Oryzias latipes: one gene and its partner. The protein of the gene in region 2 interacts with the protein of the main gene of each other region in a biochemical or structural test. Links are inferred from orthologs where the notes say so. Each region holds a gene or a part of one and is shown on either strand. Other genes may lie near its edges. The genes, in order: slbp and dcaf11.

The links.
Region 1: the proteins of dcaf11 (region 2) and slbp form a complex in vitro, tested with the Homo sapiens proteins (2 studies listed by BioGRID, with this or other methods). The link is inferred for Oryzias latipes from reciprocal best matches to the Homo sapiens genes DCAF11 and SLBP.

Annotation. Positions count from the first base shown.
Region 1 is NC_019868.2:4,691,450-4,696,009, forward strand, and holds the start of slbp (histone RNA hairpin-binding protein), read left to right. Parts: upstream 1-1,641; 5' UTR 1,642-1,764; coding exon 1,765-1,829; intron 1,830-3,419; coding exon 3,420-3,533; intron 3,534-4,315; coding exon 4,316-4,429; intron 4,430-4,493; coding exon 4,494-4,560. UniProt on the Homo sapiens protein: RNA-binding protein involved in the histone pre-mRNA processing.
Region 2 is NC_019878.2:12,376,474-12,380,291, reverse strand, and holds part of dcaf11 (DDB1- and CUL4-associated factor 11), read right to left. Parts: intron 3,805-3,818; coding exon 3,736-3,804; intron 3,588-3,735; coding exon 3,530-3,587; intron 2,188-3,529; coding exon 2,002-2,187; intron 1,845-2,001; coding exon 1,691-1,844; intron 872-1,690; coding exon 719-871; intron 630-718; coding exon 523-629; intron 1-522. UniProt on the Homo sapiens protein: May function as a substrate receptor for CUL4-DDB1 E3 ubiquitin-protein ligase complex.

The DNA of each region.
Region 1 (4,560 bases), on a different chromosome or scaffold from region 2:
TGAAAATTGAGTCATGTTGAGTTTGGCTGGTTTGTTGGACCCCATGGGACAGATGACGGGTATCAGCAGTCCAATCAGCATGCAGTAGCAGAGGCAAAAAGTCTTCCCGGGAGAAGTTCAGGAGTGTCATGGAGACCCACTGTCAGTTTGAAGGAGATTCAGGAGCGCTTCCCTGCTAATACTGTCTACAGTATAGGTGGAGAACTGTTTACATGGGTTGTTGTGATCTAACAATATGTATGAAAAGTGCTGAATAAATAATTAAAAAAATGGTTACAAGAGGTCCATGAACCCTGCTCCTGCACAGCTGCAGGTCCTACAGCTGGTTTGAGAGCAACAGAGATCAAGGAAGACAGAAAAACAAGCAGAATAAGCTACCGGTACATCAACCACAGAAGCAAATTTTTAGGACAGGTACTTTTAGGACATATTGTGTTTCAAAATGTACTTTGTATTAAATTCCATTACAATACTGAATCTATGAAATATCTTTTTAACAATTAGAATACTTCCTTTAATTATGGAAAAAACACTTTCAACAGAATAATATGAAAGTGGTACAATGAATTCCAAAAAACATATGGTTGTGATATTATAATCCCAAATAGATGCAAAGAGCTTTTGAAATGGTCAATTTGTCTTGAGCCAAAACATTATATTTCAATTTTAAAAATAGATGTAACCCTGCAACGCTGAAATCAAAGGTTAGTTTTACGTTGAAGCCTGGAGTTTTAATGCTGTTCAGGGTCATTTAGTTGCTGGAGCCAACCCAGGTACTCTTGGGCAAAGGTGGGGTAGACAGTTTGACAGTCCATTACAGGGCCACACAGAAACACACACACTCACATTCCCACCGAATAGATAATTTACCAATTAACCTGTGTTGCATGTTTATGGACTGTGGTCGGAAGCAAGAATCCCTTGAGAAAAACCACAGATGTTTGGGATAAACATGCAAACTCTAAACAAAAAGAACCCATCAAGGATTCCAACACATAAAAAGGACATTGCTAACCACTACACCACTGTGCAGCTTTGCTCGGCTTAATTCAATTGCAATACATTTTGAACAGATTGATGGTTTTTCTCACCATTTTGACAACCCCTAATTTTAATTCATTACTGTTTAAAATAAACGTAGGCAAACAATGTTAGAAGATGTCACTTATAGATTAAATGTTCCCTCGATAAAAGCTCCTCTTTTATAGAGTCGACCCTATTAACTGTAGACATTAGACTGAACAACACAGACACATTTAATGAAAGAGTTACATGTTTGATTTTTCCTTTAAAGTTAGTAAAAGAATAAGCATCGCAGTTGTTTTTATTTGTCTCTCAATTTCTGATTGTGCTCAATTACATATTTTAAATGTGTGAAAATAAAAAAACAGCTCAAAGCTGTCAGATCCATGTCATATGAGTTTTGATTTAAAAAATCTTGTTAATTAGAAGACCCTTTATGACGTAATAGCTTTTGCCGTTATTGTGGGTGGAGTCAAGGTTTTTTATTTTTATGATTAAATGTATTTACTTGTATTTCAAACTATATTCTTTTTCATACAAAAATAAAAAAAACAAGTCTGAACATTTTTAAATTGAAGGGTTCGATGGTCACGTGGTTCCCAGCGGAGTGTTTGGCGCGGTGCCTACGGAAGTGACGTAGCACTCGTCTTTGTGTTTGGCGCGCCGCGGGTTTTTGTTTTCTGTGCTTGGCGCAACTCGGGTTTTGGTGTCAAACGAGCAGTTTTCCCGCAGAACCGGATCATGTCTACCAGAACCCCTGACCGGCGGACCGACGCCACCAGCAGCCGCCGCGAACACACCCGGAGGTGAGGAGTTCCGATCCAGCTTGGTGAATTCGGAGAAGGCTGTTCCGTTCGGACTGAACGCCGGGACCGGCGGACAGCAGACCGAACTACCGAGAGAGGGAACTCCAGTCCTGCTCCTGACTCTAAACACATAGGTTTTTAGTCGGTTCTTGGCGGGTTTCCAGAACCTCAGAGGTCTTGAGAGTCCTCGACCACAAAAAACTGTTTTGACCGAACGAGCAGGTTTAGCTGTTTATTAACAGAACCGGGACGGATCATTATATACGTCGGTGTTCATTCTTTAAACCGGGTTTAGTGGAGACGGAAATGTAAATATCCGAGCTTTAACGTGTCGTGTGTGGTTCTGTGGATCCTCTTCTGTTGGATCGTGTTCTGTTTGGGAACAGTCCTCCGGAAAACCTCGCACTGTTTCTTGGTTCCGCTGCGCGGGGCAAATGCGCGCCAAAGCCGCACCTTTAGTGCAGATCCTACTTCATATAATGCAGTAAAGGCATTTCCACCTGCTGCTGTGAGGCGTTTAGACAGGAACATTGTGTTTTTAACATGTTCGTCTGACTGATGATGGAGGACACACCGAGAGAAAATTAGCTTTAAAAAACTTTTTGGAGTTTTTCTTTATTAAAGTTTTAGTTAATCAAGAGTAAAAAGATCATTTTTGTGACGTTGAAAAGACGTCACAAAAAATACAAGATCCCTGCTCCTCTCCATTCTTATTCATCATCTGTCAGACAAACAGATCCATGTTTGTCTTTGTTTTCTCGTCTGAGCTGGAATCTGGATCCAAACTGGACGTCTGGATAGATCCGATATCGCTGGCTATTTTTGTTGCATTGATAATGTTAAGTTGGAGCTGTAAGCAAGCAAACAAAGGCATGATGGGTAAAAAGGGCATGTCCTCTCACCGCCAACAGCCACAACTCAGAGGAGAATTCCTGCCGCTCTGCAGAAACTATGTCCTAGGTCAGGGGTGTCCAACTCATTTTTTACTGAGGTCCACATCAGCATAGCTGCAGTCCTCAAAGGGCCAGATAAACCTGAAAAATAAATGTAACTACTACTTAATGTTAAATTACTCATTTATTTATTCTAACTTTTTAAAGTGACAATTCCAGTTGCATAGAAAACATATATTTGTTGTTATTCTAGCATAAATCCTTTTACATTTGATTCTGTCAGGTTAAGTTATATGGACAGTGTTTAAGTCCTACTGTTTAGTTGCCCAATCCCATATTTCAAGTCTGATTCTCCCTAGATATGAATAAATACACACCAATTTTTATTTTTTATTTGAGAAATTAAAAACTTTTATGCTCTTGCGGGCCACAGAAAATGACATGGGGGGCCACGTTTGACCCGCGGGCCTTGAGTTTGACACGTGTCTTAGAAAGTGACATAGGTTGTTAGATTATGACTAAAAACGCCTTGATCCTAATTCAAAGACCACTGGGAACACTTTTACAATAGATCAGAAGAGACAACAAGCTCTGTTAGAAACCCAAACCCTCTGGTTTACGGCAACAGTTTTAAAGCCATGCACACGGCATGTCTGCACTCATAATGAAGACCCCCCCCCTCTTCTTTACTGTCCAGCAGCGGTCCGTCCCGGTGGTCCCACTGCAGGAAGAGAGGCGTAGACGGGAGCATGCGCACAGACGAGCATGAGCGCACAGACGAGCATGAGCGCACAGAAGGGAGACATTCCAGGTAACGTTCCAGGTATATTATTATGATGATGATGTGGTCCATTTACATTACTGAGGCCAAGTGCTCCATCTACAGCCAGACAGCCACAACCACTGTCCTGTGTTTCAACCAGTTACTGTAAATGAGAACGGAACCGACAGACTCCTCCCCCTGGCATTCCAAACAGGAAGTACCCGCTGGTTCCAAAAAGCTAAAATGCCATAAACTTCCATAGAGAAATAAACAGCTGTTACTCAGTCATTTTATTTGTCCAAATAACTTTTTTTGCTCTGACACCTTTCATTAACATGCCCTCGATAACTCGTTTTTTTATATTTTATCTTTAGTGCAATTTATCCAAAATATAAACTGACCAATCAGAGCATTTGATTGACAGATTTTGTGCAGCCGGTGGTTCTGCTGGTGGAAAAACTGAGAACTTAAAGCAACAGTATTTAGGTAACAGTAAAAAAGCTTTTTCAATCCATTTATCTTCACTTTTGAACCAATCACATTCAAGCTCACTCCTGATTGGCGAGAGCGGTTGCCGTAGAAACATTGACTCAGACAGACTCGATTCCAAAATGGTGGCGTCCGTGTTGCAAAGAAATGGCGACTGAATTGCCTTCATATGGTTGGAGCCAGACGTGAACCATCTTCTACGGTTGACGTCACACTCACTCAGTCACTCAGTCCAGTTGTCATTACAGTCAGTGGTTTCAGCGGTAATAGACGGCGGTTTGGACCCCTGCAAATATACTCCCAGATGTGGGGCTGAACCCGTTTGTCTTTGTCCCCCCCAGTTTTACCACCCCAGAGAGTTCAGGTCCCGTGTCCCGCTGCGCCGCGTCATCTGACTGGGGAAGTCAGGTGGAGGACAACGAGATGAGGAGAGACCTTCACAGAGACCTGCAGCGGTAAATGTCCTGTGAGCTGATTGGCCGTGAGGGTGCATGAGACCTGAGCGTGGGCTTTGTCTAGGTACAGGAGGAGGATCTTGGCTGCAGACGGCCCCCACAGGGAGAGGAAGGCGTCCTCTGGATCATCT
Region 2 (3,818 bases):
ATTACAATTACCATGTGATCAATACCAATCTTTTACTTTTTTTTTTAAATAAAGTGATTCTATTTGTGAAAAGCACTTTTTAAATAATATTACTAACTGTTTAAAAAGCTTAAAACCCATAATTTATATTTTATTATTAAAATGAAATTTATTTTCCTTTTTATTCCTTATTTTTTCCTTTTTACTTTCTGGAATTTTTGTTTTTTGAGATGATTTCCTGCAGAAGCCTCATACTTATAGACAAGATCTGAAAAAAATCCAGTTTAATTGAACGTTTTTTTATTTTTTGACTGAATTAAGGGCCACTGAAGCTCAGTGCTGCCCCGATGTAATGTAATTTGTACTTTTTTTCCTTCTGTGTTGTGTTTTAACTTGCCCTAAATGGACTATGACATTCTATTATGTTGTTTACTTTTTTCTGAATATGCGACTGAAATGACACTTTCTGGAATTTTGTTGTGCATGTAACATGTGACAATGACAGGAACGCTTATTCTATTCCATTTCTTAAAAGATACTCACAGAGCTGCTGATGATGCTGGCCTCATACGGGTGCCAGCTGACGTCCCGCACGCACGCGTCATGACCCAACAGCCTGGAAACCACGGCTCCGCTCAGCACGTCATAAACTGGACACACACCAGCGTTCAAACACTTTCAACTCTTCAAAATAAAAGCATCCGGTCTACACGTACAGTATTTACATTTAGAGACTTACTGATGATTTTGCCGGTGGAGCAGCCCGAGTAAATGTATCTCTGACCGGTGCTGAACTCCGGAGAGAAGCGGCAGCGGATGAGGGTGTGGAGAACGCCGTGTCCACGGTACGTCATCACCGAAGTGTCACCTGTCAGTTTGTGCTTCTTTAGAGCTGTGAGAAAAAGCAAATACAAAAAACACGACAATGTTCAAGGACGATGGGGGGAAACACATTTAAGAAAACAATTCCAGTCATTAAGACAGGTTTTCTCACACTAAGATCATTTTTCTGTTGAATAAAATTCTAGGTTAGACAAAAAAAAGACAATGTTTCTTGAAAAAGGGTCTTTTTACTTTCTTAAGATTCAGTTTTTGTAGTGCCGGCTGCAAGAACAAGACCCTCTTTAAAGGTGGAAGAATTCAAGCAGATGTTTGAAGGAGAAAACCCCCAAAACAAGCTGCTAAAAACACATGAAACTAGCTGACACTCGCTTGCTAGCAGTCACTGCACATGGACAGTTACCTACTACTGGTAGGTAAAATTTGCATTTTGTTCAAAAGATTTTATTGCATCAGAAAGGAACGTCTGGCCCACTGATTGTAGCACCTACATTACAGCTACAGGCTTTTTCCAGCTGCATTTTTTCAACTGCTCCCCATTCACAGCAATTTTAAACAAGAAATACTCAGTAATGCAGAGTTTAGCTTATTCTTATTATATGTCCTCCATCAGAAAAATGCCACCAGAACATGTTAAAAATGTTATTTTCATTGGAGTGAGCCTTTAAAATATCTCTAATTAGTGTATAGACTGTGACTGTGCTGTGACTCATGCATGCTCTAAAAACACAACATAATTAGTGTTTGCAGCCACAGTAACAAACGAGAAGCATGGGTACGTTATATGCAGCCTGAAAGCCATGTCATCAGGAGGGCTGCTTCAACTCCAATCCCTCTGCTTCAACTCCAATCCCTCCGTCTCCCTCCTCACCTCTCTGGGGAACCTGCTGCCAGCGGTAATCCCAGTTCTGCTGGGTGACGGCCAGGCGGGAGGCAGCCAGCCCCTCTTTGGGTGAGAACTTCCTGACATCCCACAGCTTGATGGACTGGTCCTTGGAGTTGCTGATTAGATAGCGCGCATCCCCCTGGCACAACCGGGAGGAAAGAATAATAAAGAAAACGAAGCGCACTTTCACACCGACATTCCAGACGAATTGCGCTCGGCTAAAAATACACACTCCTCAACCGATCGCTTTGTGAGAGGAAATTTCTCACAGATGGATTAAACCAAAACACGCATACCTTGCTGTGGATGAAGGTGATGCCATCTCGATGGCCAGCCAGCTGTCCGACGGGCTGCGGTCGGTCTTCTCGTAGCGTCCTCCTGTCCCACACCTTGCACAGAGCGTCGTCGCTGCCAGAGAAGAGCAGCTGGGACGAAGAGTCGGCGAACGCCACCGCATTCACGTCGTCTTCGTGGGCGTCAATCTAAGAGCGGCAGGTGCAAAACACAGGGAGGTCTGTGGTAATGAATTTCTTTCTTGCTTTGTCTAGTCAGACATGCGCAAACACACATGCAAAATGGGAGGGAGAGAGTCTGAAAGACAGTAGGACAAATATGAAGCAGATGGTGGAGATCAATGGCTGACTGGTACACAGAGGGTGGCTGAGGGGGGAGGAGGAGGAGGAGGAGAGGCGGGTTTAAACATGACTGCCTCTCTGCAGGGTGGGGCTGCTCCCTTTGATGCTACGCTTTAAACAAAACTCCACATCAGCGTCCTCTTTCTAATTTAGCTAAAGGTGCCACTAAGCCCAATAATTGAAGCTTCTGTGAGGATTATGGAGACCAGGGTTCATCTAAGGACAACATACCTTTATCGCATCGGATTTCAGCTCCAATAATCCTGTACGTCACACTCCTTTTTTCCTTTTTAATTTGTTACATTTGACAAACGAAGGCTACGTTTTTCTGTTTGATTAACCCAATCAACAAAAAAAAGGCTGCAAATTTCTAATCCAAGGGGTGAGTTTTTAAACAATCGTCCGGTACCGTTCCATAGCGGAGGACAAAAAACCACGACCTACATTTTTCCCATTTTATGCAGTTTTATTTGGGAAAACGACTGGATGCCCCACTACATCAGACTCATTCTTGACCCAGGTTAAGTCGCTAGGTCATGTTTCGAAAATACATTCACTACTTTCTTAAATCGGCTGTGTGGACCGCTAGATTGAAATCCCCAAGATGGCAATGTAAAAAAGAATCGAACGTGTTCTTTTTACAGAAAGGAGCCAGTGAAGAAACAGAAGAAATCTGCATTTAACGTTAAAAACGAAGAGTCTTTGCTCCAAATATGGATAGTTGTTCCCACACACTATAATAATAATAATTAATAATATTCAGCAACCAACTGTCTGAAGTCATGAGGAACAGTGGGTTCATGTTTATTATTATTTTTAGTAAAACTGACACTGTTGGGTTTTTTTTTTTGCTTCCATTTTGTCAGTAATCTGTATCACATTTGAAAAGTTCCTACTTGAAATCTAGTGTTCAATTAAAGTTTAAAACAAATGCAGATATTTCCCAGAGGATGAAGACAAACTTTACCTCGAAAGTTTAGAGAAACTGGGAGCTAAATTAAAGACAGGCCATGAAAATATTGTCTGACATGTAAGTAATCGTGGCCTGAAAAAGGTTGTAGACCTCGTCTCTATGAGCTCAACAAATGTGAATTTTCTCGAGTTGTATTGAAAAGTAGGAAGTACTACGGGGCCAAAACACACTGATTTTTGAAGAAAAAAGATGGGAAACTATGCACAAGAATCCAACCTTCAGCGTCCGTCTGTTCTGTTCCAGATCAAAAACGTAAAGGCAGCCATCATTTGCTCTGGAAAAAGGAAGGAAACAAATCCAGAATGAAAACATTGGCGTTAAAAATGTTCAGCGTTTCTATTAAATAACCTGTTTGACTTGTGCGAACAGAAAGCGTTGGAAGCCTTCGGTCCTTGTCAATCATAAAAGCAAATGCTACTCACCCGCCCAGAATCTCTTTGCCATCTGTTGACGCTGTCAGTGAGAACACACAGAACCTCCTCTCATCTGGACTACAAAGCACAAA